Lonchura striata: one gene and its partners. The protein of the gene in region 2 binds, or shares a complex with, the protein of the main gene of each other region. Links are inferred from orthologs where the notes say so. Each region holds a gene or a part of one and is shown on either strand. Other genes may lie near its edges. The genes, in order: PRPF3, SNRPF, CWC22 and GEMIN2.

Region 1 (7,183 bases), on a different chromosome or scaffold from region 2:
TGGAGAATCCACATGGAAGATGTAAAAACCACTTCAGTTTAAGTGATTCAAGTCTACAAGCACAGGGAGGCCTGGAAGCCTCTGGGATCTGTGTATTGTGCTGTCAGGAGCTTTAAACTAAGGGATTAAGGGGGTCCAGTCCATGCAGAAGCAAAGCAAGGCTGTAACGGGCAAAAAAAGCACACCAAAAAATTACCTTTTACAGTTCCTCAAATAAGGAATTAATTTTTCCTCATCAGATCTTTTAACACATCCCAAGGCCTCCAGCTGAGTCTGGGCTGAGGGATTTCCCCCTACTCACCTCGTGGAGGCTGAGAGAACTGCCCTGTGCCCCTGCACCTCCACCCTGGTGAGGTTTTGGGCTGTTTTACAAACCTGGCTGCGCACGTACCAGCCGCTTTCTAAAGCACACTAAAAAATTACCTTTTACAGTTCCTCGAATAAGGAATTAATTTTTCCTCATCAGATCTTTTAACACATCCCAAGGCCTCCAGTTGAGTCTGGTCTGAGGGATTTCCCCCTACTCACCTCGTGGAGGCTGAGAGAACTGCCCTGTGCCCCTGCACCTCCACCCTGGTGAGGTTTTGGGCTGTTTTACAAACCTGGCTGCAGACGTACCAGCCGCTTTCTAAAGCACACTAAAAAATTACCTTTTACAGTTCCTCGAATAAGGAATTAATTTTTCCTCATCAGATCTTTTAACACATCCCAAGGCCTCCAGCTGAGTCTGGGCTGAGGGATTTCCCCCTACTCACCTCGTGGAGGCTGAGAGAACTGCCCTGTGCCCCTGCCCCTCCACCCTGGCGAGGTTTTGGGCTGTTTTACAAACCTGGCTGCGGACGTACCAGCCGCTTTCTAAAGCACACTAAAAAATTACCTTTTACAGTTCCTCAAATAAGGAATTAATTTTTCCTCATCAGATCTTTTAACACATCCCAAGGCCTCCAGTTGAGTCTGGTCTGAGGGATTTCCCCCTACTCACCTCGTGGAGGCTGAGAGAACTGCCCTGTGCCCCTGCCCCTCCACCCTGGCGAGGTTTTGGGCTGTTTTACAGACCCGGCTGCGCACGTACCGGCCGCTTTCTTCTTGTCCATGCCCTTGCCCACGCAGTTGAGCGCGGCGGTGACCACGGTGGGCTCCGAGAAGCCCAGCACACGCTTCACCGTCTTCTCGATCCATGGCTTCAGCTCGTCCAGCTCGCGCTTGGACAGCGACATCTCTGCTCGGGCTGCGAGGAGACACAGCGCGTCAAACACGGGCCTGGGGTGTCCTCACCCTCAGGATCAGCTCCACGGCTGGGAAAAGCTCTCGTGGGCTCCCCTGCGGGCTAAAACGAGGCAAACCCCGTGAGGAGGGAGGTCCTGACCCCACACAGGGGACGCAGGACCTGCTGTGGATCCTAGAGGGACACACCAGAGTGCTTCCAAAACCAGACAGCAATGCGTGTTCTCAGGATAACCCTTCCCACCCTGGCTCCTCCCTGAGCTCCCCATGTCTCTCTGTGCTGCCAGCCCGGTGACAAAGCCTCTGAGCTCCCCAAATCCCTCCATGGGATGCTCCAGGGGTTGGGAAGAGAGATGCACTGCGAGTGGAACGCGTGGGACAGAACCCCCCTGCTCCCACTGAGCCCACGCCAGGGACACAAAACAATCTGAGCCTCTTCCCCAGCGTGCAGCCCCAGATCTGGGCAGCTCCCTGGCAGTCACAGCCCCTCACATCCTGCAGCACTCACAGCCTGGGCTGCAGCTGCAACTGCTTTTAACTGGCTCCGGGCCCTAATCGGATCTGGCAAAATCTCCTTAGGGCTGAGCCCCACCACGGCACCCAGGTGGGGCTGTGGGAACAGACACCTGGCACAGCTGTGCTTCCTGGAGCTGGGAATGGTGTTCAGTTATCCCTCCTGGAGCTGGGAATGGTGTTCAGTTATCCCTCCTGGAGCTGGGAATGGGGCCCTGGGGTTCAATGGGGTCCTGGGGTTCAGTTATCCTTCCTGGAGCTGGGAATGGTGTTCATTTATCCCTCCTGGAACTGGGAATGGTGTTCAGTTACCCTTCCTGGAGCTGGGAATGGGGCCCTGGGGTCATCCCTAACACAGATCCCCTGATTTCAGGTCCATGAGCAGTTCCAGGAGGTGACTGCTGCTTCCTGCAGGGCCCCAGGAGCTGGGGAATCTGCACTGTCCTACCAAGCAGTCCTCCACAGAGGACACGGCTCTGGTTTCCCTCCAGAGCCTGGGAACCTCCTCAGGCTCTACTTTTCCTGGCAGCTTCCTTAGAGACAGGTTCAAATAGAGCCCAAACCCGGATTCTGGCATTTCCCCACGACTTCTGAGCCTGCACAGGCTAAGGACAAGCAGAACTAACAAATTACGGCCCCGACACATCGACAGCTCTGAGCACACCCATAATAAACCACAAAACTCGTGTAATTAGAGGCGGTCCAGCTTCCCCCGACCTGAGCTCCAGCAGGAGCTGAGGGGAGGCAGCGGCTCCCCGGCTGTTTCCGTGCCACACCGGGCGGGCAGAGCCACCGCGGGGAGCAGCTCGTGGGGATGCAGCTCCCGGAACCCGCATCAGGATCAATGAACGAGTCCGAGCACCGCCCGACCGCGCCGGGGCTCCGCCGCCCGCTCCGGCCTCACACGGACGGACGGACGGAGCTCGGTCCCACCGCAGACACGCGGCTCCTGCCGACCCCGCTCCCGCGCAGCCCCGCAGGGCCCGGCGTGCCCCGCTGCCGCGGAGCTCCGCCCGGGGCCCGGCCCGGCCCCCTCAGCGCGGCGCGCCGGGCGAGCGGCTCCGCGCGGGCCGGGCCCGGGGCCACCTCCGCCACCGCCTGCCTCCCTCTCGGTAGCCCGCCCGCTTTCCCCGTTGCCTCCATGCCCTCCGGGGAGCCGCAGTGTTCCTCACCGGCCCCGTTCCCTCACGCCGGTCCCGGGCCCGGCCCGGCGGCCCCTGACGGTGACGGCGCGTCGGGGAGGAAGCGGAAACGGCCGCGCGGCGCCTGCGCGGCGGAGCGCGCGGGAGGGCGGGGCCGGGGCGCGCGCGAACCCGGCAAGGGGCGTGGCCACGCTCAGCCCCGCCCCCGCCCCCTCAGACCGTCATTAACCAAACTCAATTAACGGGAACCAAGGCTCTTTATTGGGGCCGGCCGCTCCTCAGCAGCCCGGCCACGGGTCCTGGCGGGCGCTCCGCGCCAGGAAGGCGATCCTGCGCGCCATCTCGGCGCAGTACACCCGCCGGCACGCCTCGAACGCCCGCCGCCGCCGCGCCCGGCTCGGCTTCTCGTAGTAGCGGGAGCGCCGCACCGCCTCGGCCACGCCGTCCTGCGCCAGGATCCTGCGGGAGGGGAGAGAGCCGTGACAGCGGCGGGGAAGGCTCTGCCGAGCAGAGAGGAACGGGCACGGCTCGGTTCGTGCGGACCCTCGGTCCCCGTGCGGACCCTGTGCACGGCTCGGCCCGTGCGGACCCTGGGCTCGGCTCGGTCCCCGTGCGGACCCTGTGCACGACTCGGTCCGTGCGGACCCTCGGTCCCGGTGCGGACCCTGTGCACGGCTCGGTCCCCGTGCGGACCCTCGGTCCCGGTGCGGACCCTGTGCACGGCTCGGTCCCCGTGCGGACCCTCGGTCCCCATGCGGACCCTGTGCACGGCTCGGTCCCGGTGTGGACCCTGGGCTCGGCTCAGTCCCCGTGCGGACCCTGTGCACGGCTCGGTCCGTGCGGACCCTCGGTCCCGGTGCGGACCCTGGGTTCGGCTCGGTCCCGGTGCGGACCCTGGGTTCGGCTCGGTCCCCATGCGGACCCTGTGCACGGCTCGGTCCCGGTGTGGACCCTGGGCTCGGCTCGGTCCCGGTGTGGACTCTGGGCTCGGCTCAGTCCCGGTGTGGACCCTGGGCCCGGCTCGGTCCCCGTGCGGACCCTCGGTCCCCGTGCGGACCCTGGCTCGGCTCGGTCTCCGTGCGGACCCTGTGCACGGCTCGGTCCCGGTGCGGACCCTGTGCACGGCTCGGTCCCGGTGTGGACCCTGGGCCCGGCTCGGTCCCCGTGCGGACCCTCGGTCCCGGTGCGGACCCTGTGCACGGCTCGGTCCCGGTGCGGACCCTGTGCACGGCTCGGTCCCGGTGTGGACCCTGGGCCCGGCTCGGTCCCCGTGCGGACCCTCGGTCCCGGTGCGGACCCTGTGCACGGCTCGGTCCCCGTGCGGACCCTCGGTCCCGGTGCGGACCCTGTGCACGGCTCGGTCCGTGCAGACCCTCGGTCCCGGTGCGGACCCTCGGTCTCCGTGCGGACCCTGTGCACGGCTCGGTCTCCGTGCGGACCCTCGGTCCCGGTGCGGACCCTGTGCACGGCTCGGTCCGTGCGGACCCTCGGTCCCGGTGCGGACCCTCGGTCTCCGTGCGGACCCTGTGCACGGCTCGGTCTCCGTGCGGACCCTGTGCACGGCTCGGTCCCGGTGTGGACCCTGGGCCCGGCTCGGTCCCCGTGCGGACCCTCGGTCCCGGTGCGGACCCTGTGCACGGCTCGGTCCCGGTGCGGACCCTCGGTCTCGGTGCGGACCCTCGGTCCCCGTGCGGACCCTGGCTCGGCTCGGTCTCCGTGCGGACCCTGTGCACGGCTCGGTCCCGGTGCGGACCCTCGGCTCGGTCTCCTCGCCGTCCACCCGCGAGGAGGGGAAGGAACCCCCCGAGCTCCGTTTAAGGCGGCTCCAACGAAGGTGTGTGAGCGCAGAGCTCCCCGAGAAGCAGCGCTCAGCTCTTCCTCGATTTCACGCTGCTTACAGCCCATCCGAGGGGGCGGTGGGACGTGGAGCTCATGGGAAAAGCCCCGCACCACCCTCCCGTCACCTTCTGCTCCAGAAATTCTGGCTCTGAACCCAGCACGGGAAGGAATCGGAGCCCCTCGGGGCCCAAACCCCGCCGTTCCCCCCGATCCTCACCTGTTCAGGACGCCGTACGCCGCCTCCACGTTTCCGTTCTGCACCATCACCGTGCGGCCCACGAAGCGCAGGTGGTTCGCCATGGCCGCGCTGCTGCGGGACGGAGCGGCTGGGACCGGGCAGCCCCGGCGCCCGCAGGAGCCCGTCCCTCCTCCCCCCGCCCCGGGACACGGCAGGGAACCCCGGGTACGGAGAGGGGCCGGTCCCTCCCGCCCTCTCCCGGGGACACGGAGGGCTCGGTTCCCCCCGCAGAGCCCCAAGGGACCCGCCGCCCCGCGAACGGTGCCGTGCCCCGGTCGGGTCCCGGTGCCGCTGCTCTCCCCAGCTGACCCCGGTGAAGCTCCGCAGCCCCGTGACTGATGGAGGAGCTTCCGTCGGGAGGGACTTCCGCTACCGCCGGGACTTCCGGCGGGGAGAGCCCCGGTACCGGCGGAACCCGTGCCGCTCCCGGGGCTGTCCCGCCCGCAGCCGGGCCGGGGGACAGCGGGGCACCGGGGGCGGCTGTGAGCCCGCCGGGACGGGAGCGCACCCCCCGCCCTGCCCAGGCACAGAGGACACGACAGCGGCTGGCCCCGGCCGCTCCCGCGGCGTTTATTGCTCCAGCAGCGCCCGCCCCGCTCGGGGCTCCGCACCCACCGCTCGGGGGGAAGGCACCAGCCCGGGAGAGCCCGGTCCCCGCGGGGACGGGGCTCCGCTCCGGCCAAGGCACGCGGCCGCCCCGCGGTTGGGGCTTCTGGGGTGGGGAGGGGGGTCGGGACCCCTCCCCCGGTCAGTCCCGCCCGCCCGCGGGTCTCACTGACCACCCGTAAAAAAAAAAAAAAAAAAAAATCAAAAAAGGCAAAACCAAGAAATGCAGACGAGATCTTCCCCCCCCCCGAGCCGGGGGGGGCGTCACACGTCCGGCGCTGGGGGCGACTCGGGGGTCCCGGCTTGGCACCGGGGGGACCCCCGCTGCTGTAATGTCCCCGCGGGGCTGGCGAGGGGGAGGTCCCCGGGCAGGCGGCGGCACCGGGGAGCCCCGGGGGGACCGGCGGGGGGCCGGCGGCGCGGGGGAGCCGTGGAGGGGGTCGAGTCCAGCGTGGGTTTGGGGGCGACGTGGGGGAACCAGAGGCGCAGCATCGCCTCCACCTGCAGCAGCGTCCCCAGGTAGCGGGCACTGCGGGGAGAGAGCTCTGTCACCCTCTGCGGAGGAGGTGTCCCCGTGCCCGCCCCCCCCGGGGATAGCTGGGGACCCTCACCCCATTTCTGGCTTCTGCAGGACCCCAATGATCCGCTGGAGCCGGTCCATGGCCACGCTCTGCTGGAAGCTGCTCAGCCCTGGGGAGTCCCGAAATTGGGTGAATTTTCCCCAGAGGGAAAGGGATGCTTTGAGGAGGAGGAGGGTGTGGGGGGCACCCACCTCTGTCATACCGGCCCCGCCGCAGCCCCTCCAGCAGCTCGGCCAGCGGCCGGATGAAGCCCCGGAGCTCCCGGCACTGCGAGGAAGAGGAGGAAGAGGAGGAGGTGACTGGGCTGCACCCAGACTGGAGAGGGGGTCTGGTGCACCCCCTCACACCCCACTTACCTCCCTCTCACCCCCCGAATCCTGCTCATCCCCACCCGCCCGTTTCAGTGGGGAAACTGAGGCAGACCCAGGGGTTTTTTGAGGGGACACCAAGCCCTCCCTCACCTCCCATCTTTGGGGGTGCCCCTTCGTTTTCTGCCAAAAAACTCACCTTTTGGGCAAAGAGGCGATCGCCATCGCTGGGAGGGACATCCCCCCCTTCTCCTTTCCGCGGGCGCTTCCCCCCGCGGGGTGAGGGCGGCGATTCGGGGGGTGCTCGGTCCAGCCCCGCCGGGCGCTTGCGGCTGCGCTCGGGTCTGGGGGGGCTCCGGGGGGAGCTGCCGGCCTCGGCCTCGCTGTCGGAGGCAGGGGAGCCGCAGGAGCAGGTGCGGGCGGGGGGCTCCATGGCGGGGGTGGCCCCCGCAGGGGAGCCTCTCCCTGCGTTCAGCTCCAGCAGGGTCAAACAGCCGAGGCTGTCTGGGGGAGGAGGGAGGGAAACACCGGGGGGGATATCGGACAAAAATGGAAGACAACGAACTGCCTCGTTCTCCCGTGGGGATGTCATCCCCACAGCCCCGGAGCTGCCTCACATGCCCCGGGGGGGCACATTTGGCATCTCCTCAGACAGGATGGGAGACCAGGGACCCACCTGGGACCTTTCACCCGGGACCACCCCCAGCCCCAGGACACGCCCCTCTCCCCCCC
Region 2 (6,376 bases):
ACCCCATTAATGCCACTGAAGTCTGTGGATCCCTGCAGCTGCCAGGAGGCTTTTGGCTGTGTGGCTGTTGGCTGCTAAGTAGATATACATTTGTCCTTTCTTAATGACCATACAGCCACACTTCAAGCTTCCTGACTCAAAGCAGGAGAATATTTCTGAGGGAAACTGGGGTATAACAGATCGCCACACCTCACTTGCAGTGAAATCTTCCCAGCTAATTCTAAATGTTTTATAAACATGTTTAAAGATGAAACGTATTTAAATAGTCATGACATACATACTGTAAAGTATAGATACTGCCAAGTCTTCCTGTATTTCAGATGGGAAGATAACTTTTAAGGTATTTTTAAAGTCCTTGCTTTTCATTTCAATATTTCCAACTTTCAATTGAACCAATTACCTATTGTTCCTCCAGCATTAGTTTTTCAGACACCAATAAAATATTAACATTTTTTAAAGAGTTAATTTTCCCCATACTAAAACACAACAGAAATAAACATCTTACTACAGAAGTATGAAAAACAAAAAAGAAAAGAAAGGTTTATTTTCAGAAATACAAAACACCTATTCTCTCATTTCTCCATCTTCTTCCTCTTCTTCCACACCTCTGATGTACAAAACATTATTGCACCTGTAAATAGAACAAAGAGTTTCCTTAGCTATAAACATTATCATTTTCCCCACATAAAACAAGCTTTAAACATTTTTCTGCTTGAATGTAGCCTGGCAACAGCCAAATTCTACAGAACAAAAAGCTGCTGTTGTCCTTGTACACCTTTTTCACACAGTACATCAAACTGTGCAACTTCATGAATGTAATAAATGTTTGACAATGCTGTACAAAAAATTTTTTACTTTAGGGTGAACAGTTACAGTCAAGTTTAACTTCCAAGCATGCAAAGTGTTTCCAGCTACAGTGCATTAGTTTACAATGCCAAAGGATTCCCAAATATATAATACTGTGGAAAACAAAAGTATTTTGTTACCACAAAGGAGACAGTAAATACTTATCTAGATATTGCAAAAATCATTTTTCCTCCTCTCAGAAGGGACTTTGATATAGAAGTCACATTCATAGCCTTCCTATAAGAGCTACACTTGGCATCTTAATTAGACAAGAAACACAACATCCACCAGTATAAGCTTTAATGCAAGTGGTGAGGCAATTTAGAGCCTTCCTCCACCATAAATAAATATCCCAATTACCTTATCAAAACTTCACCCAGGTGTCCAGACAACGCACCGTCTATGTACTCCTCTGTGTTTGCAAGCTTGAAAGGAAAATGAGGAAAAAATCAGAAAGACAGCAATAAAAGCGGCTCCGCAAAGCACACGACGGCTCTGCCCCAGCCCAGGGCTCGGCCCCAGCTCCCGGGGGTGGCCGAGCGGCCCCGGTCCCGCTCTGCACCGCGTCCCCACCGCCCCCGGCCCGGCACGCAGCGCCTGCGGCGGGGAAGGTCCTTCCTTAGGCATCACCTCCTTGAGAGCCCCGTCAGGGCAGAGACACCTCCCACTGCCCCAGGCTGCCCAGAGCACACCTCCCACTGCCCCAGGCTGCCCAGAGCCCCATCCAGCCTGGCCTTGCACGCTCCCAGGGATGCGGCACCCACCATTTCTTCCTCCACAACGCCGGGGGCCGGCACCGCCCCGGCACGCCCCCGGCCCCTCACCTGCATGTTCATGTAGCCGTCCACGGAGACGAGGTAGCCCTTGTACTCCATCCCCCACTTCAGCTTCACCATCACCGGTTTCCCCGTCAGCCCGTTCAGGAACGGCTTGGGGTTGAGGGGCAGGCTCTGGCGGGGGAAGCACACGGTCAGCGCCGCCCGCCTCCCGCTCCGCCTCGCCCGGCCGCCTGGGGCCCGTAACGGAGCGGCTCCCGCCCCTCAGCGCCCGGCTCCCGCCCCTCCCGGCTCCCGGCCCGCCCGGCCCGGCTCCCGCCGCTCCCGGCTGCCGCTCACCATGGCGGGAGAAGCGCGGGCCCGGCGGGACCGCTCGTGCGCGCCGCGGGACAAGGGGCGGCGCTGGGAACGGCTCCGCTTCCCGTTCCGGGGGCGCCGCTCTCACCCCCGGCCTCCCACCGCGCCGCGCTCCCATAGGCTGCCGGGCCCCGACGCGCCGAGCCTCAGGCGCGGCCGCCCATTGGCTCGCCGGTGCCGCGGGCCTGTCTCATTGGCTGCCACTTCCCCCTCCCACCCCCCGTGCTAACCAATCGCTGTTGCCGCCAGTCGCGCCGCGGTGGCGCGGCCGTGCGCGGCGCGGGGGGTGAGCTCGCGCCCCGTGCGCGTCCCCGCGCGCTGTGCCCGTGCGCGTGCCCGCGGTGCCCCGCGCGGTCCCGTCCCGTGAGGCGGCGGCGCGCGGCCGCGCCCATCCGTCCGCGAAAAGAAACCCGCGGAGTGGTTCCACACGCAAGGATAGGAAATCTCAGAGGTCAGCGGGCACATTAAGTGCGAATTCCCCGTCAGTGGCTTTTTACCCCCAGGCAAAGATGTTCTTGGGTGTAGAGAGAGTCGCGACACATCAGTGCTGACTTATGTCTTAACCTTTGACAGGCAAGTGTGCTGCACCAACGCCTGTACCGTTTACCGATTGGTCACATCCTCACTAATGTCTTCTACTGCCCGGTGGATAAATTCATCACATGCCACAATGTGCATTTCTGTTCTGCATGCAGCATGTCCCCTTGATCTTCAGTGTATTATTGGGTGCTGAATGTGGGAAACACCATTCAGGAAACTTAACCTTTCAGTAACAGAGCTATTGTGGGTTGTGTGCACTTCACCTTCCAGAAGTGACTCTAGTGCCCTGGTATTGAAAGCAAAACCATTCTTGCCTCCTCAAATCTGCATATTTAAAGCTGTTGATGCAAAAAGCCATCTTCTCCAGGTCCAGACTGTCCTTACACACCGTGAACGTGTAGGAGTGAAACGGATGCAATTGTAGTTCCTGTTCACTAGCATATATCACAAGTGCAGTTACAGAATCAGAATTGTTAGGGCTGGAAGGGACCTCTGAAGACCATCCAGTCAACCCTCCTGCCAAAGCAGGGTCACCTGCAGCAGCTGACATAGGAACATGTCCAAGTGGGTTTGGAATTTCTCCAGAAAGGGAAACTCTGCAACCTCCCTGGGCAGCATCTTCCAGTGCTCTGCCACTTCCAACGTGAAGAAATTCTTCCTCATGTTGAGATGAAACTTCTTGTGACTATATCTAGATGCACATTTGCACAACCATTAGAAATAAGTGTGATTTTATTTTAGGGTGTAGTGGATGGACAGCAGAAACAAGACCAAAATATGCTAATTTTCTTTCTGGTAGCAGGGCTCATTATGGTCCAGCTGAAAGAATAACTAACTTACTTATAAGATTTTTTTGTAAGGAAGTCTGTGTTTAGACTATGAAGCAAAAATATGAACACAATGGGAAATGGTATATATAAAAATTTTTTCATGCTATTTGCAGTACAGAATAGCTGATTTCACATGATGCCGTGTTGCAGAATTCAATGAGCTTAGACCAAGTGTCTTGAATAAAATCATACTGTAAGAGCAATTTTTGCACTGTTCTGACAAGGATAAACATGTATGCCTGTGAATGGCAATATAAAAGGTTTGGTATGTTATCTGTAAATAGCACTAGTTATTTTTACATATGAAACCAATTTTGACCACAATGTCTCCTATTCATGTTGGGAAAACTTTTTGTGTACCAAGAAATAGGAGCATTTAGATTTCTCTTTAAATACACACTGCTAATCAGGTGAGTAAATATTCCAGCCCTGTTGTTACAAAAAACAAGCATTTCCCAGGGTCATTCGTCTCAGTGTAGAAGTCAAAGACAGAGAGTGCTTGACTACTACTTTCACAATTGGTCCATGAGTTCACACATCAGTAATTCATCAGCTGGAGACTGGGTCTGCGGCAATTTTGGGCAGGGGTAGGGTAAAAAGGAGTACTGAAAGCACAGAATGCATTACTACATCTGGTGTAGTTAACTAAGTCTGTTAATCAGGAAACAAAATAGCTGATGTTTTTCTTTGGCCCTTGTGAGGAATTTGCTGTTTACCTTGTTGACTGAATCATTCTGACTCAGTCTTCTAACGCTGATCTTTGGACCTTCAGCACAGGGGTGAAGTTCACCTTTTGTCCTCTTTGTATTTCCCTTGTAATAGGGGAAGTAATAATTTGCATTCTTTTCTGCCTCTGGTCAGGGTATTTAGGCTGTTGCTCAACAGGAAATGAACAGGAAAGAGTTGTTGTAATAGATTAATCCAAGCCTGAGCTCCTGGGTGGATGGATAGGATTTTCTCTTACAGCTCAGGAGGGGGAATTTAGCACAAATGCCTACACTCTGTTCCTAAGGAAACACATCAAGCAGCTGGACATTCAAGGGCAGCAGCATTTCTGGTGGAGAGGTGGTTACATGGCGTTGTCTGTGTTGGTGCAATTGCTCCCTGACATCACTAATGCACTGTGTTGCTGTAAAATCAGGCTGAGAGGGCCCATGTACCATCACACTGCTGAGAGAAACCTCAGCAGCCCAGAACTCCTTTCTGATTCAGCTGAGTTTGCTGGAGAAGAACTCCCTGCAGTGACCTGTTTCTGTCTGCCATAAACACATTATTAAGGAAACTTTCAGAGCTGCCTCATGTTCCAATTTCTAGTGTGAACATTTAGTGACCATCCCATGCCTTTTCCTAGTGATATGCCAGTGTCAGTGGGGGTTTCCTCCACTGTATTCTTATTCCACATCAGGTGAACTACTTCCGATACCACGCAATCATGTCCACCAGAGCAATAAGAGCTTCAGCTTTGCCATCACCATGTCATGAGCACCAGCTGCAGTCAAAGAACTTAAAGCAGCCATGAAAGTGCAGCCCTGAATTGCAGGTGGGCAGAGCGGAGTTAACAAAATGGAAACTCCATCAGAAGTGCTGAAGACAGCACCTTCAAAGGACAGGTTTTCATTAAAAAGGATACAGTGTGGCAGCATGGAATTAGCCCTGCTATGTGGTGTAGGAACTTCTGCCTCTGTTGGGTTCATTACTGACAAAGCTGTGTAAAAACCTGTTCTCTCCACATACAACCTGTCCCAGGTAAAGACATACCACCTTCCTTCCTCCCTCTTGCCATACTCCCAGGCCAAGTCTGGTCCTTGAACTGTTAGGTGAAGTGATACCTCAGTCCAAGGTTGGCAGTGGTTAAGTAGGCTTGTGCAAAGCAGTAGCCAATTCCTGACGAGCTCTCTGTTCTAACTTCTTGGGGATGCAGTGGTTATGACTCTTGTGCACCTAGGAGGATTTTGAAGCTCTGCGCACCCTTGGGGAATTTAGCTGTTGTAGCAATACTGTTAAAATATGAAGAGGACCTAAGACTCAGGCCGAGCCTTGACATGAAGAACATCTATTTTTCCTTCAGGAATAGACAAAATGGAAGATTTTCCATTAGATATCCTACTGGAATGAAAAATCAGATCTTGCCCACAGTTTGTCTGTAGAGACTATCTTGTCTAAAAAACCTTTTTCAATAAGTAACACAAGATTTTCTCTATGTACAGAAAATCTGTATAATTTATCAGCTCTTGGTGACTTGGGAACTGCTGTAGCAGTATTCTGTGAACTGCCAACAGCCCTCATGTGAGGTATAGTCCTGACTTTATGGGGCTTTGCCACAGTAAAATAGTTTTGCTTCAAGTAGTATTTTTTCAGAAATGTCTTCCAGTAAAACACCTTTCCTCTCTGCTGATTGTCATTTTAATTACACCATCTTTGATCAAATCTCCATGTGAGGCCATAACCATCCACCACAGACCTTCACCACCGATTGTGACTGGGAGTCGGGAGATAGTGAATTCAGACTTAAGAAGAACAGGGGGCTGTAAATTCTCTCTGAGATTCTCATCAACAGAAGCAAAGCCACACTGTTCCACAAGTGTGGATATACAGTGAATCCAAGGGTGGATCCAAGTAATAGGAGGCACAAAACTGGTTAGCCTGTTTCAGGCTTCATCCAAGCAACATGCCTTTTTTCACATGCTGACAGACTTTCATGTCAGTGTAAGACTGTAGCTCAGAACATATGCTCAGTCTTGCTGAACAACACTTGGAAACAGCCAAAGAGAAGAACACAGGGGAGCCACAAAAACCAGGTGATTTTCCATTGGCCCTGAATGCCTGGCAGTGGCTAGCAACAGTAATGTGAGGGAACACAAACAAAATGCAAAAGTCTGTTTGGGATGGACTTTCCCAGTAAGCAGGAGACCACGCTGTGAACAGCTCCCAGGGCAGGAGGTAGAGGTGAGCCTGGGAAGATAGAAATGAAGGGTTTCTTCTTGGGTAGAGGATTTATATGCAGTTTCAGATCAGTACAATGTCTTT
Region 3 (7,173 bases), on a different chromosome or scaffold from region 2:
TACAGGATGCTGCACATGCCAAATGCTTCCACAGGTTCAAGGCATGGAATAAACACCAAAGAAAAATCCACAAGGGTTACTAAAAGACTTTATCTGGCTGAGGAAGCTGCAAACAGGTAGAGTGTGAGAGTATGCCGGCAAGTACTTTTATATATCCCTATTCCTAAACTCTCTAAGGCATCTGCTGTTAACTACTGCTGGAGACTAGAGTAGATGGACCACTGGTCTGCCTTTCCTGCTTCGTTTTTTCAGATGCCATTTTCATTTGTTGTATTACACGCAATACCATGAACAGAATTCCACCATTTCTTGTTTAAAGACTGTCTTTCCTCTCTCCTAAAAATTCCCTTTATTGAGTAATTTTTCCTTACATTCCCCCTTTTTACTAATCACAATTTATTTCCTCAAGAGTCATTCTTAGTTTCATACATTACAAACATCTGAGCTGCACTGATCTACTTGGCAGATTTGCAGAATTGTGTAAGTGATACACACTTAAACAGCTCACAACAAATTCCATGGGCTGAACCATGACATGAAGTATGGAGTAGAAAATCAGTACAAAAATCAGAAAGTGACAGCATCTACAGCAAACAGAAAGATATTCATTAACATGTTTCTAAACATTTGTAAACAGCAGCATTTGTAACCTGAGTACTTTCATTGGAAGGGTCACCTCTTTCTTTAAAATATTATTTATGATTTTTCAGAACCACAATCTCACAATGTCACAGAGTCATTATCTGTGAAACAGGGAACACCTCACATGATGCAGTAACTCAACAAAAGCATTTCCTTATGCACCTTGATGGAACTCCCTGTAGGAACACTCAGCTTGTTCGTTGAAGCAGCCTCCTCCCCACCAAAGAACCAATTAAAACTCTGGGTGACCAGAACATGACACCTCTTCCATAAAAAGCAGAGCAACTGCTATCTCCAAAAACTTAACTGGGAGGGTGTGTATATATGCAAAAAAAAAAATTGTTTTTTTGAGGCCACTATAACATATCCTGGAATATTGCCCTTCCAAGGGGGCAATTCAAATTGTTAAAATTACACCCAGAGTTCTGTTGCCTGCATAAAGGCCATGACACAAAACAAGGGCTTTGCACTGTCCACTGGCAGCATGCATCCCTATAGAAGTTATGTCCACCTGTGTCATTTTAGAGCCACATTACCTTCAACAGTGGACACAGTACAAAAAATTCACACATTCACCAAGGTTTTCTACCCCTTTGAATGGTCATTACAGCACACAGCAGATCACTGAATTCATTCAAGGGTAACAAGCGTCCTTGTTTCCTTTTCCCAACATAGTAATATATGCCAGTCTGAATCCTAAGCTTCCAAGAAAGCGGTAATAAAAATCTTTGAATACCACAAAATAGTTACTGTATTTAAATCCTATCTAGCAGATGGGAAGAAGGCAGTGGGTCTTTTTAAGGCTGATCCATTCCAATGGATTCTTTATCATGTGTCTCTGCCCAAGCAGAACCAAAGAGACAAATGTTCACAGAAATAAAACAATGTTATGGCTGTTTCTGTATTTGCCATTTATCACATCTCCTTGCAAAAGAAGCTATGCTTGCTGAAGAAATTGTCACCCTCAGCTCTTTGTGACCAGGTTTTCTGCCACAAGTTAGCCCTCTTCTTTATCCATTTTCATCAAAGTGATTAAGTGAAACTGTCCAAACAGTGTGCTTTTGCTAACTGGCTTGTTTTGACAGATGAGGGAGCGCTACCAGGTGGGGAGAACAGGAGAAGGTATTAAACTACCCCTCAAGCATCCCTACTAGAAGTCACTCAAGTCAGAAAAGATGGTCTAAAAGAGTGAAGAAGCCTATGCAGGTTCCAACTCTGGGCAAACAGGGAGAGTAATACCACAGATCTGAGTCAGGGCATCACAACAATATTGCTCTGTTAACATGTCTCAAAACTGGCATCCATTGCAAACAGCATTTCTAAACTTTTTCTTCTTGCATTCCCAAAAAAATCAACCCCATCCACTCAGAAGTGGGACACATAGCTATTAAAAGGAAAAGTTTTAACGTGCATAGTATGACATACAGTTGTCAAATTAACTGCAACTTATTGTTTCAATATCTTTTAAGATTGTTGTTAAATTTCTCAAAATCCTTCTCCACTCCTCTACATGCTTACACTTACTGTTGAGCCATCAGCATTCAGTCAGTTTTGACCAATTATTGTAACATTTTACACTAATAATATTCAGGACTTTAATTGCATGGACAACAGCAGCTAGTATATTACTAGTCAGTAATTTACTGACTCCTAGTAGTATTTATCTTGCAAACAACTTCTGTCTGTTACAGATATTACTTGCTTTGCACTCAGGAAGTTTTATTTAACATAATATCAACTACAAACCTAATTACCAGTGACATGGGAAGTATCAAATCTCACAATTTAGTTTTAAGAACACTTACATTTACTTGTGTCACCCTGCTCTTCATCTTGACTTCCTGCTTTTTACGAAGTTCTCAACGTGCAGCAACGAGGCAATCCAAGCTGGAGTTCAGCATATGAAAACCATTTCACCTGTAACACACGGAAGAAAATCAAAAGCTTTCGACTGCACAAGGTGCCGGAACACGCACCTTTATTTTGTCCTTTAAGGCTATGCTTACACAAGTCCTTAAACCCAAAGGCTCCCCCGGGTCTATTCCGATACGCTGCGGCCACACAGCGGCTGCACCGCCGCAGCCGGCCCCGAGCGAGCGAGCGGACAGGCCGCGGCCGGGGCTGCCGGGGCCCGGCCCACCGACCCCGAGCCCGGCTCCCGGCCCGGGCCCGTCCGCTCGCGGCGGGGGAGGCCGCGAACCCCGACCCGGAGCTCCCCCGGACCCCACGGGGATGGCGGGAAGGGACGGCCCGCCCAGCCCCGGCCCCGTTCCTGAACCCGGCCCCGTTCCTGAACCCGGCCCGGCCCGCACCTCCCGCCGCCGCCGCCGCGCGCGGCCCGCACACGTCACTTCCGGCAGCGCGAGGAGCGCGCGGCCGGCCCCACCCCAACATGGCGGCCGGAGGGCGGGGCCGCCTCAGTCGGAAAGGAGCGCGCTCGCCCTGCGTGCCAGACAAAAACTGCTGGGCTGGGCATCCTGGGGGAAAAGCCCTGCACGCACTGCAGTGCCGAGCGCTGCCGTGTTGGAACACCTGTATGCTGCAGGGTCTGTTTGGCCTCTGAAAGTTTGAAGTGATTCGGCGCCACGGATCCAGGCTAACAGAGAGCCTCTGGCTTATTGTAGGCACAAATGTGTTTGGATTTGGGAGAGTAATTAAATGCATAGAAACGGGATGAAAACAAAGGACAGTGCTACATAAGGTCTTGAAGTGCTTGTGGTTCGTTTCCATGCTGTGAAATGCAATGAGCTCCTCCGGGCCAGGGCGCCGCCGCACCTGTGGGACCCGCTGCTTCTCCAGGCGATGAACATGGAGCTTTCTCAGAGCTGGAAAATGCTACATTTCTTTCTTTTTGGAGGTTGTTAAGTCAACTTATCTATTCTATACAGAGCATTAGACTTCTTAATGTTTTGTCACATCATGTAATACGCCTGTAGCGCTATTTTCATTGTAACAGTTAGTACAGACTCAAATGCTCACTGTCCAAAAAAAACCAAAAAATCACAGCATAGTAAGGAGAGGATATGCATGATTGGACAGATCTGGTCAATGTGGTGCAGCAATTGAAGACTTAATCCCCAAGATTTAAATTATCTCGCTCTTCTGTCACTCAGAAGATCTCAGAAGAGTAAGAGAAAAGGAGCATCAGGCCATGACTGAGATTGTGCTATGTAGCACTTTAACTCAGAACCACTTTGGTTTAAACTAATCTACCAGTTCACGTTCCCCAGAATTTGAAGCATTCACAAAATGGGAGCAAACCTATTCTCCAACTTTTCCAAAGGCCATCAATGCCATTGTAACATTGTATATTGTCACAGAGACAAATATTCTGTGCTCAGGAGAGAATAGTTATTTTAAGTTACACATTCATAAAAGTCAACTTTCTCATTTATGTTGTAATACTAAGCAGAATAGTCAAGGCAGCAAAACACACCTTGCCAACATGGAAATGTTAAGAAACAACAATCAGAAAAAGTGAATTTTTTTTTCTGCTTATAACTTTTAGCTACAGGATTTGCTTTATTTGGCTTAATGATTTGCAAATGTGGCTCTTACACAGGAGACTGGAAACAGCATTTATTTGGACAGTTCTACACATTCTCACAATGTGAATTGTTAAATGCTTTCACACGCTATTCCCTGAACCCACTCCATGATTTCCCATTCTGTTGTGCAAGTAATCTTTTTCCTGCCTCACGCTGTGTAAACAGGTGTCACGAAATGAAAAGGCATATGGTGCCAGTGTGGCAGCAGCATCTCCTGAGGGGGACATCCTGTGGCTGGTGCCACACGTACCATCCCTCAGCCTGCCCCTCCAAATGCCCTGAGAAAGAGAGAGCATAGACAGCTGAGCTCTGCCTCAGAAGGAGCCTGAGGACAGAGATGGGAAATGTAAAGGTCTTTTTTGAGGTGCCTCCACCAGGAGACTACTGATAACCTCTGAAAAACATGTTTGTGATTTAAGATGGGCTGAATAACTGGGGTGACTTCAATTCTTCAGTTCTCTTCTTGGATGTGGAAAGCAGACAAGGGGCTGGGGCAATGGGATTCACTGAACAAGAGAAAGGGCATTAAGTGCTGAATAGCAGCAGTGAAGTGAGGTTTCCCTTTTCTCCTTTCATAAGTTAATGCTTTTACTATTGGATTATGCAGTGAAGCTCCCTTCTGCTCATTTCTTCCCTGCCCTGCTCATCTTACAGTCCTTTTTCTGCCATAGGTCACAGTTAGATTTTATTCCTCACCAGGTTAAAGAGAGAATTCTTAAATTTTACAGTGGGTCTAGTCCTGTGGTTTGGCAAAATGCTTTAAGAGATGCAAGTTTTAGTTCTGTGAGAGTGAAAAGACAAAGCTTGCACTTCCCAAGTGCTTTAAGGGGGTAGAATGCAGTGCAGGTTGAGTACCCCTGATCAGCCTTTTGGAATCTGCTGCACTCAAGATCCTAAATGTACAGAGTCTGAAGTAGAGACGTGACTGTGGGTTCCAGCTTCTAGAGAGTAAGAGGGATGCAGGTACATTCTCTTGCTTGGTGTGTCTTCCACAACTTCTTTCTCAGCATGTGGGACTCCTTACTTGCCTGGAAGGCACTCAGGTGAAGTAATCCAACTGAAGCAATCCTGATCACCCTGCAGCTGTGCAGCTACTCTGTGGGTGTAAGAGATGGTGAGGTTCTCTCATCTCTATCTCAGTCTGAAGTACATTACAGTTCGAATGGAGCATGATTTTGGAGTCTGGAAAAAAAATCCAAAGACAAAACCACACAAGAATTAACTCATGTTGAGTGGCTTTATGTGTATTTAGAACAGCAATAATCAACAAAGAATTCTTCACCTTAAGTAAGCATGATGATCAGGCTTTGAAATACAATAACACCCAATTCATACAAGTACCTAATGCTTCTGGAAAAACAGTGATAGCTGCTCCAATAGCTTATTCTGGTAACTGAGTCTTTGCAGTTAGTATTGCTTTATTAATTAATTTCAAAATGATGGATTGGACATTGGTTTCCTGCCTGCTTTATTAGGAGTAAGGAATTTATACACAGCTAATTCCCATCCAAGTTAATCAGTGTGACCTTTAGCATGCTGTAGAATTATAATCTTGTGCAAGGCTCAAAAATTGTTTCCAGATAGCTGCTGCAATGTGCCAGCTGCAGGATATTATTCCACACATCAGCTGAGATGAGAAATCTCATCCTCTGTGGTTTCAGTTTAAGGTCACATAAGTGAGGTGAGTCAGCAAAGGAGGCTGGAAACAACACAGCTGAACTTGTTCAGTAGCAGAGTGGATCAGGGACATGCAATCCCTACTCTACTGCTACTTTTTGTGTGGCAGGAGTTATTTCCAATGCAGAGTGTTAAGAAACAACATATAAGAGAGAAAGAAGAAAGCTCTTACATCACATAAACACCATTGTTTCAGAGGGATCCAATATCCGTGCTCTGCAGTCCCCTCACCATTACAGTTTAATAACTGCTGGAAGATCATGGGTTTACAATACTAAGAAATATCTCTTTTTGATACCTCAAATGTGTGACACTCATCACATTCCATCACAAAATTTGTTTTTCCCAAGAAAACACCAGCAGACTCCTGCAATGTGTTTTGAAACCTCATCAAAGTGAAGCTATCCCTCTGAGCTCAGTGGCAGGATGATCATATGTGGAACTTCCACACAGTTTCCTCTGTGTGAGAACACATCACATATGTTTGCTATTATTTTTAATGACAGTCTTTCAGCTGCTTCTCACAGTAATAAAAAAATCCACTCAGCTACTGTTTAAAGCACTTCCTGGTCTGTATCCTATAATCTGCCTTCTTTCAGTTTTGTGGCAATGCTCTTCTCCAACCAGCTTCTGGGACTGAAAACAATTCTTGTCCAGTCTAACCTTAAATTAATATACAGGGGAAGCAATTATTCAGAAAAGGAAAGCATAGTGAATGCAGATTGGCAAAAAAAAAAAAAAAAAAAATAAAGGTACATTTTTTGCAATGAGTTTTTGCTTGTTAATATAATTAATGTTTGTTTGTTTGAAGCCTTTCCTACAAAGTGGTATGGAGTGGAGCCAGACATAGTGCTGCAGACACAGGTCACTCTGGGCTGTGAACTGGTGTTTTCATGTCCTTAGTTTCACTTTGTCCTTACACACTGCAGAAGAATGTTGGTTCTTTTCCACAGTTTCAAGACTTCATCAAACCAAGGCATCATTCTACAGCCGGCACCCTGAATATCTGCCTAAAATTTCAGGGCTACACCATGAATTGAGCTATGTCATCATTTGGCAGCTTTAGATTATTTAGCAACTAAAATCCTTTTTTAGTAACTAAACCCCTTTCAATTTTGTTTTTACTCCTTTGTGCTGATTTTTTTTATCCTCTGTGAAGTATTTTTATATCTCCTGACCTTTAAGGAAAAAAATATCTCTGCTGTTCTGCAGAGCTAGGACAGTAGAACCCATGGTGGGGTCATGATGCTGAGTGCTAGAAGGTGTGTTTGTGCCTAGAAACCAGAGGACAGGCTAATGAATGCAC
Region 4 (7,089 bases), on a different chromosome or scaffold from region 2:
ACATGAGCTCATGCAGAGTTCAGTGCTAGAGCAGCTCCTAGCTGGTCACACCTCAGTACTTGAGGGACTCTACAATGCAGTATCAATGCACTGTAAACATGCTGTCTGCAGCAGTGGAATCACAAATTACCTCCACCTATATTTTTATTATATTTTCAATTCATCCTGCTTGAACTGTGCATAGAGAATAATAGAATCATAGATTTGGGCTGGAAGGGGCCTTCACAGGCCATCTAGTCCAGCCCCTCTCCCATGGGCAGGCACATCTTCAACTAGCTCAGGCTCAGAACCCCATCCAACCTGACCTTTAGTGGTTTTGAGGGATGGGGCATCCACCCCTCTCTGGGCAACCTGTGCCAGTGTTTCACCACCTTCACTGTAAAAAAAATTCTTCCTTATAGCTAATTGAAATCAATCCTCCTTTAGTTTAAAACTTTAGCAAAGCTTAGCTGAACTTAGAACCTTTACCCTTTGAGACTGCTTATTTTCTGTTCTTGTGTTATTTCAAGCAGGGTGCAAATGTATCAGGAAAGATGAAAGTCTGTGCTAATTCTACAACCTTACAAATATGTTTTACCAAATCAGTATGTCTCCTCATAATGGGTTGCCACCTCTGTCAACAGGTTTCTAAATGCACTTTATGAATCTCCTGATGGGTTAGAATCCACTTTGTTCTTAGTTAATATTAAGTTCTGCAGAACATTTCCTGCTAGCACTATGTTTTAATATAACTGCATAACATCATAGGGGTTTTTGTCCTTCCTCAACCATGCCTTTTAATTTAATCAAAATACAGAGAATTTCTTAAACTTGACTCTCAAGAGTTTCATCAGAGGTTTAAAAGCCACACAGTATATGCTCAATTAGCTTTCAAGAACTTAAAACACTTGCCTATAAACTTCTATCCTGCAACAAAATCGCAACACTTCTCTACTAGATGTAAAGTTATCCCCTATAAAGCACAGATATGTTCTATCTAGACCATGCAAGACCCCTCACAGACTATCTTGTACCTGACGAACAGCTGAGAAATTGGCCACTTGCTGCTGCTGCCACTTGAGCGTTGGAGAGTATCCTTCAGGAGCAGGCTGACATCCAGAAATCTGAGAAAACACTGGTAATAATTATAATGTAAAGAGATCTGCATAAGAAGAATCCTTAAGGACAAGAGAATCAGTAAATGTTTACTATCAGGTCAACAATATCCTTGAACTCTCCATCTAAGAAAGGTAATTTCATGACCACATCCAAGGCTGAGTTAAGATTTTGGCTTAGACAAATTTGACACTTCTCATATGTACATAAGAAGGAAAACTAAGTGTTCAAAATACATTGTCAAATAATTACTTAAGGTCTTCCTTTCAGCAATTGTTCTGCTTTAATCTCCCTGCTCATAAAAAAATGGATGCAGCTTCCTTATCTGGGACAGATACTATCAATCTTAGGCAGTCTTCCTGTGAAGATAGTAGTTGAGGAAGACAGAAGACCATAAAACCATCTAGAAAATTAAATTTGATAGTTAAGTAGATATAACTGCTTTAAAGATTAGCATGAAAGGGTTATTAAACAAAATCTTTCTACAAGTGCTTAAGAATGTCACTACAAACAGATGAGACAGATGAAGAGAATGGCTACAGAAGTTACAAAGTCATATCAGTATTAGAAACTTTCTTTGAGAAATCTAGTAGGGCAATCTCAGATTACATCGTTGTCGTTGGAGAAAGGCAAACTATTTGAAAACAGATTAAAAACCAAGCTGGCAGGGCAATGCAACAACAGAAAAATCTGCTTCAACAGTAAGGAGAAGTTCCAATAAAATATTCCTTCCAAAAGGAAAGTGGTACTAGAATTTAATGTAACTTTAGTAAAGCTTAGCTGCACTTACTACCCTTATGCTAAATATAGACTTAAACCCAAAGACAGGTATGGATATGTTTTTCTTCTAAAATTTATGCAGGTTTAAATTTATGCAGGATTAAATAATTGTAAGATTTAATGCAACATTTGATTTCCTTACACAGTAAAATAGTCAGCTGTGTATCAAATAGTATGGGGATTATCAATTTAATAATTTAGAAATACTGCTGTTACCCAGCAGGTGAGCAGGGGTTTCTTCAAACACAGACATTTAATTCTGTAGATGCTTTTAGAATCTAGCAGTGCTATTCAGTTATGCCAATGACTCCCCCAAAGTAATACAAACATCATTATAGGAACATCTCTCCCGGTTTCCCCCCTACTCAAAACGTGCAAAAGCTCTCAAACTTACTGAAATGTTTACTGTCGGCTTCTTCTTCAATTTTCTGGGATCTATTTGCGCCACAACAACGTCAGGACATCGCGCTGCTTCAATCCTACAAAACAGAATCAAGTGGGCTGCATTTTTTTCTTTCATGTGACAGGTCGGTATATACCGGATGTCTTTGAAATACTCATAAAAATCATGGAGGGACCAATCAATATCATTGAGTCCAACTCCGTGCACACGACAGCCCAGAAATCACACCCTGTGCCCGACGGCGCTGTCCAAATGTTTCCCGAACTCTGTCATGAGCTGTTCAGTGCTCAGCCACCCTCTGGGTGAAAAACCTTTTCCTGATAGCCAGCCCAAACCTCCCTTGACACGGCTTCATGTCGTTTCCTGGAATCGTGTCGCCGGTCACGACAAGGAAGAGATCGGTGCCCGCCCGTTTTAAAGCAGGTGTTTAAACACCGGTGTGAAAGCACCGGCTGTGCCGGCGAGGGCAGCACGGCGCGGCCGCCCTGGCGCGCCCGAAGCCCGGCCCGGGCAGCACCGGCTGCCCCGCCACACTCGCGGAGAGGCGACGGGCCCGGGCCCGGCCCCACCGCCCCGCCACTCACTGGACGCGCTTCAGATACTCCTGGGGCGTCCTGGGAGGCACGGTGGGATCGAAGTCCTCGGCCAGGTCGCAGTCGCCCACGGGCAGCAGCCGCGGCATCAGCTCCTCCAGGCCCGGCTCCATGGCCCCGCGCGGCTCTCGCGAGAGCGGCGCTGCCGCGCGGCGCGCGCCTCGGCCCGGCGCCGCTGGGCGCGCCCCGCGCCCGGCGTCGTGGTTGTCCGGGCGGTTGTCCTCCCGCCGGGGAGCACAACAAGCATGGCCGAAGAGCAGCGGCAGAAGAGGGGTTGCCAATCCACTGCCCATCAAACTACGCCTATTTTTGTGGTGAAGAGGCGTAAACCTTTAATAGCTTCCTTCATTAGCCGCTGTGACATTATTCTAATATGCTGTAGTTTTTGCCAAAAATTCTTTAAAGCTCACCCGTTAGTACGCTCTTATTTTACTTGTGAAAACCCAGTATTCGTAATATTTGTCCCTTTCTTGAAATGCTTTGAGATCTGTGGTTAAAGTCAGTTATATAGAAGTTAATGATTTTAAATTTACAGAGTTCCCATTCTGGAAGGATCAATGCCTGAGCTGTTGCTGTATGAATTTTTCTGAAGACTACAATGTGAAAGCATCCACATGTCAGAAAGCAAGGTAGCATCTGTGTTATAAGTTGAGGCGAATAATTTGATTCAGCCTTTTAAGATCAATTAATAATTTTATTAATTACAGCAAGCGATAGCAAGCAAAACAGCGCTGGGTTCAGCTGGGAGCCTGGCTCCGCCAAAAGCTGACAACCTTTCCTTCTCTTCAGTCCCTTTTTATCTTGCATGAGTGGGGGTGATGAGTCTCGTTCCACCGTGGTTATCAGTCCCAAAAACAATGGATTTTACAAGTGGGGTGGTGTGTCTTCTTCCACTTCGGTTTATCAGTTTTCAGCAACAATGGGTTTCCACTGCGGTTATCAGTTCCAGCCAGTCCTGCAAAATCTTTCACAATCTTTGTGGTTACCAGTCAAGCCTGCAAATTCCATGTCCCGACTTCCCCCCCTTTTATCCTAATTTCATACTTTTGATGAACAAACAAGTCAATGCAGTTTCTCACATCTGCACAAAGGGGCATTGTTTCCCAGGTGAGACAAAAAGTGAAAGGGTGATGCTGTAATCATTTACATTGTGTATTATGAAATTCCTGTTACACAAATGTCCATCAGTATATTATCTCTTCAATTAGTTCTGCAGTGTTAGATTTAATATTTCAGAGTAGTTTGAGATACTTCTGACATAAGTTAAAAAAAAAAAAACAACGTTTTCTTTTTAACCCCCTGCAAGCCTGTATTTCAGTAGTTCTAAATAAACATCTGCCTTAACTCCTCCTCTCCAATGGCTTTTGTTTGTTTTAAATTGTTTCCAAAAGCACCTACGTGTACCAGGGAGATTTTTTTTCCTGAAACCCGGATCTAACGTCTTAGTTGAGTATGCAACAATTGCAGTCACCACTAGAAATAAAACTTGCCTACTTAAACCTACAGTGATAACTCTGGAAAGGCTGATGATCAAGACAAAAACTTTGGTGAGTCCAGCTATATAAAGTTCTTTTATAATACTTTAGTAATATTCAGAACTTATTTTTCCTATTTGTTGTAAAGTCCAGAACTACGAACTTCATAGAATCAAGCGAATCCACAGATATACGCTTCAAATATACTTCCTATCTTTAGATCACTTTTTATTCAACTTTCCATTGATACTTGTTAAGCAAAGCAACATATTTTTAATTATTGCAGATAGTATTTCTTACCAACAATGCTGATGCAATGGCTAGCAAATATGACTCAGTGGAGAAAGAGGAAAATGAAATTGGAAATGTATATATTTCTTCTCACCTGCTTAGGCATTAAGGAAGAGTGCCTTCCCCAAGAAAGGTTGCATTAATGGATATGCCTCATTGGCTAAAAAACCAAACCAAAACAAAGTAACATATAAATTCTGCATTATGAAAAATTAAAATGTTTTCAAATCTACATTCTAGATATGAATATGGAGAGCTAGCAAAATATTTTCTTATAATGAATAAATGAGTTTATATCTATTTTCTACTTTTCTTTCTCCTTGATTTTCTCTGTGGTTAGCAGCGTCATAACAGCTGCATGACTTTAAGTTTAGAGCATTGGACTGAGTTATTATGTAATGAAATTTAATTGTACTGAAGATTAATTTAAAATACTGAATATATTTTATTTGTAGTAAACTTTCAGAGTAGTATACTTTGCTGTTTTCCCTTCTTGCCCTTTGAGTGTCTTTAAATGTCAGATGCCTCTTTTTCTCTTATTTATAGAGTTCATCCTGCATTTTAGACTTCAGGACTTGCCTCTTTTTTGGGGAATTTTCTGAAAATGTTTCACAAGTTATTTGAATACTTTTGAAATTACAACACTGAGTAATTTGCTGTGCATCTGTTTGAAGTGTGGTAGGGTTTGGGGGTTGGTCTGTTTTTTTCTTTTTTTCTTTTGAGTTCAGGGTGAGGATGTTACATGTCATTGGCAAGCTCTTGCTTAATACTCCCACAAATGGCAGTGAGATTTGTGAACAAGAAAATTAAAAATCCCTCCCATAAATTCTGCTGTTGCTTAACTGTTCATGTTTTTAGTCTGAAGAGGACTGGTAAACCATACTGGAGAGAGCAATGGCAAAGAAATTCTATCATAATCACATCTGACATATAAAAAAAGAGGGTAAAGTTGTTTTAGTAATTTGTATTTGCTTGATGGTCACAGAATATTTTCCGAGTTGCAATGAAGGAGGCAGGATATGGTAGCCAGTCAGCAGAATGTTTTCCAGTCCTCCCCCATGTCTGGATTAATTGCACTACGACATCTCAGGAAAGACAGAAGTTATTGTTCTGGCCTTTCATGACAGCCTTGTGAAAAACAATTCCTAAAACTGAAGAGTTATCTGTTAACTTCAGTTTGTGGATAAAAAAGCTGACCACACTAACAAGATAAAGGATTGTTTCAGGTTTAAACCCCCAGGAATATAACTTCATTTTGTTTTTTCCCCAGGCACTCAGAAGAAACATCTAAACAATCTTCCAGATTAAGAAGTTGCCATAAGTAGTCATGGTGGAAGATGGGAATAAGCCCGGCTGTTTCGATCCCGGAGTTCGTGCCGGACGGAGCAGCCCCGCACAGAGCAGCGCAGCCACCGGCGGGGCCGCCGGCAGCCCCGGGGCCGCGGCACTGCCGCAGGGAGAGACGGCCAAACTGCCCCCGCTGATCGGGATGCACACGACCGACCTTCAGAAGACAGCCGAACAGGGTGGCCAACACACACACGCGAGCAGGAGCTGCCAAGGCGGCGGAGCCACGGTCGGAGCCGCGGGGCGGCTGACGCCGGCCGCGCTGCCCGGGCCGGGCAGGCCGGGGCGGCCGGCGGGCTGTGCCGGGGGCGGGCGGGCGGCGGAGCTCAGCCCGCCCCCGCTCTCTGCCCTTGACGTGGCGCGGACTCTCCCATCAGCCATGTTGGTGCGTCGGCGGCGCCGGGGCGGCTGCGGGCGGGCGGGCGGGGACAGCGAGCGCAGCGGGAGCGGCGGCCGGGACGCGGGTGAGCGCGCAGCGCGGCGCTGAGGGGGAGCCCGGCCCGGCGGAGCTGGGGTGCAGGGAGGGGAGAGGGGCAGCCCCTCCTCTCCCCGCGCTGGGAGGCACGGGCACCCGGCCCGCGGGGCCCCGCACGGCTGTGGGACCCGAAGGGAGCGTGGTGGGAGCTCCCCGCGCCTCCTCCGTGGCGCTGGGGGATCTCCGGGTGCCAGAATTGCTGTCGGGGCCCCCGGCGGCCTGAGAGTCCGGGGCTGCCGCCGGGCGCTGGTCAGCAGTGCCCGCGGCCTCCCGGGCCGGGCGAGCAGCCCCAGCAGCCCCAGCTCGGCCGGGGGCCGGCGGGCAGGGCCTTGAACGGCCGGGGTGAAGGGCAGCGCTCCCCGGCAGCGCCGGGGTGCTCCTGTCCCGGAGCTCCGCTGTAGCTGTGCCGCTGTGCCACTGACGAGGGTGCCTTCCAGTGTAGGTAAAACGAGAAATGCAGGCCCTGCTGCGTTTGATTATGCATTGCTTTTTTTTAAATTTAGGTACCGTAGTTGTTTAAAGTTTTCAGTGAGAGATCTGGGAGGGCAGATTTGGAGGAGGACTGCGTTTGAGTGGTGAAAATGTTAGCAAATTGCTTTAGATAACTATTTAAACTATTGTGCTCATGTA

The links.
Region 1: SNRPF (region 2) and PRPF3 share a complex: the UniProt entries of both Homo sapiens proteins name them as parts of the U4/U6-U5 tri-snRNP complex. The link is inferred for Lonchura striata from reciprocal best matches to the Homo sapiens genes SNRPF and PRPF3.
Region 3: SNRPF (region 2) and CWC22 share a complex: the UniProt entries of both Homo sapiens proteins name them as parts of the minor spliceosome. The link is inferred for Lonchura striata from reciprocal best matches to the Homo sapiens genes SNRPF and CWC22.
Region 4: SNRPF (region 2) and GEMIN2 share a complex: the UniProt entries of both Homo sapiens proteins name them as parts of the SMN-Sm complex. The link is inferred for Lonchura striata from reciprocal best matches to the Homo sapiens genes SNRPF and GEMIN2.

What each region holds. Positions count from the first base shown.
Region 1 is NC_134635.1:2,813,009-2,820,191, reverse strand, and holds the start of PRPF3 (U4/U6 small nuclear ribonucleoprotein Prp3), read right to left. Parts: upstream 3,019-7,183; 5' UTR 2,910-3,018; intron 1,229-2,909; 5' UTR 1,218-1,228; coding exon 1,073-1,217; intron 1-1,072. Other genes in the region: MRPS21 (small ribosomal subunit protein bS21m), read right to left, coding at 3,158-3,338, 4,936-5,018; CIART (circadian-associated transcriptional repressor), read right to left, coding at 5,827-6,091, 6,174-6,252, 6,335-6,410, 6,651-6,955. UniProt on the Homo sapiens protein: Plays a role in pre-mRNA splicing as component of the U4/U6-U5 tri-snRNP complex that is involved in spliceosome assembly, and as component of the precatalytic spliceosome (spliceosome B complex).
Region 2 is NC_134607.1:54,488,459-54,494,834, reverse strand, and holds SNRPF (small nuclear ribonucleoprotein F), read right to left. Parts: upstream 2,093-6,376; 5' UTR 1,965-2,092; coding exon 1,962-1,964; intron 1,797-1,961; coding exon 1,671-1,796; intron 1,272-1,670; coding exon 1,207-1,271; intron 632-1,206; coding exon 565-631; 3' UTR 514-564; downstream 1-513. UniProt on the Homo sapiens protein: Plays a role in pre-mRNA splicing as a core component of the spliceosomal U1, U2, U4 and U5 small nuclear ribonucleoproteins (snRNPs), the building blocks of the spliceosome.
Region 3 is NC_134610.1:23,610,016-23,617,188, forward strand, and holds the start of CWC22 (pre-mRNA-splicing factor CWC22 homolog), read right to left. Parts: upstream 3,025-7,173; 5' UTR 2,955-3,024; intron 2,560-2,954; 5' UTR 2,475-2,559; coding exon 2,448-2,474; intron 1-2,447. UniProt on the Homo sapiens protein: Required for pre-mRNA splicing as component of the spliceosome. As a component of the minor spliceosome, involved in the splicing of U12-type introns in pre-mRNAs. Promotes exon-junction complex (EJC) assembly.
Region 4 is NC_134608.1:23,823,846-23,830,934, forward strand, and holds the start of GEMIN2 (gem-associated protein 2), read right to left. Parts: upstream 3,023-7,089; 5' UTR 2,985-3,022; coding exon 2,863-2,984; intron 2,355-2,862; coding exon 2,270-2,354; intron 1,104-2,269; coding exon 1,014-1,103; intron 1-1,013. UniProt on the Homo sapiens protein: The SMN complex catalyzes the assembly of small nuclear ribonucleoproteins (snRNPs), the building blocks of the spliceosome, and thereby plays an important role in the splicing of cellular pre-mRNAs.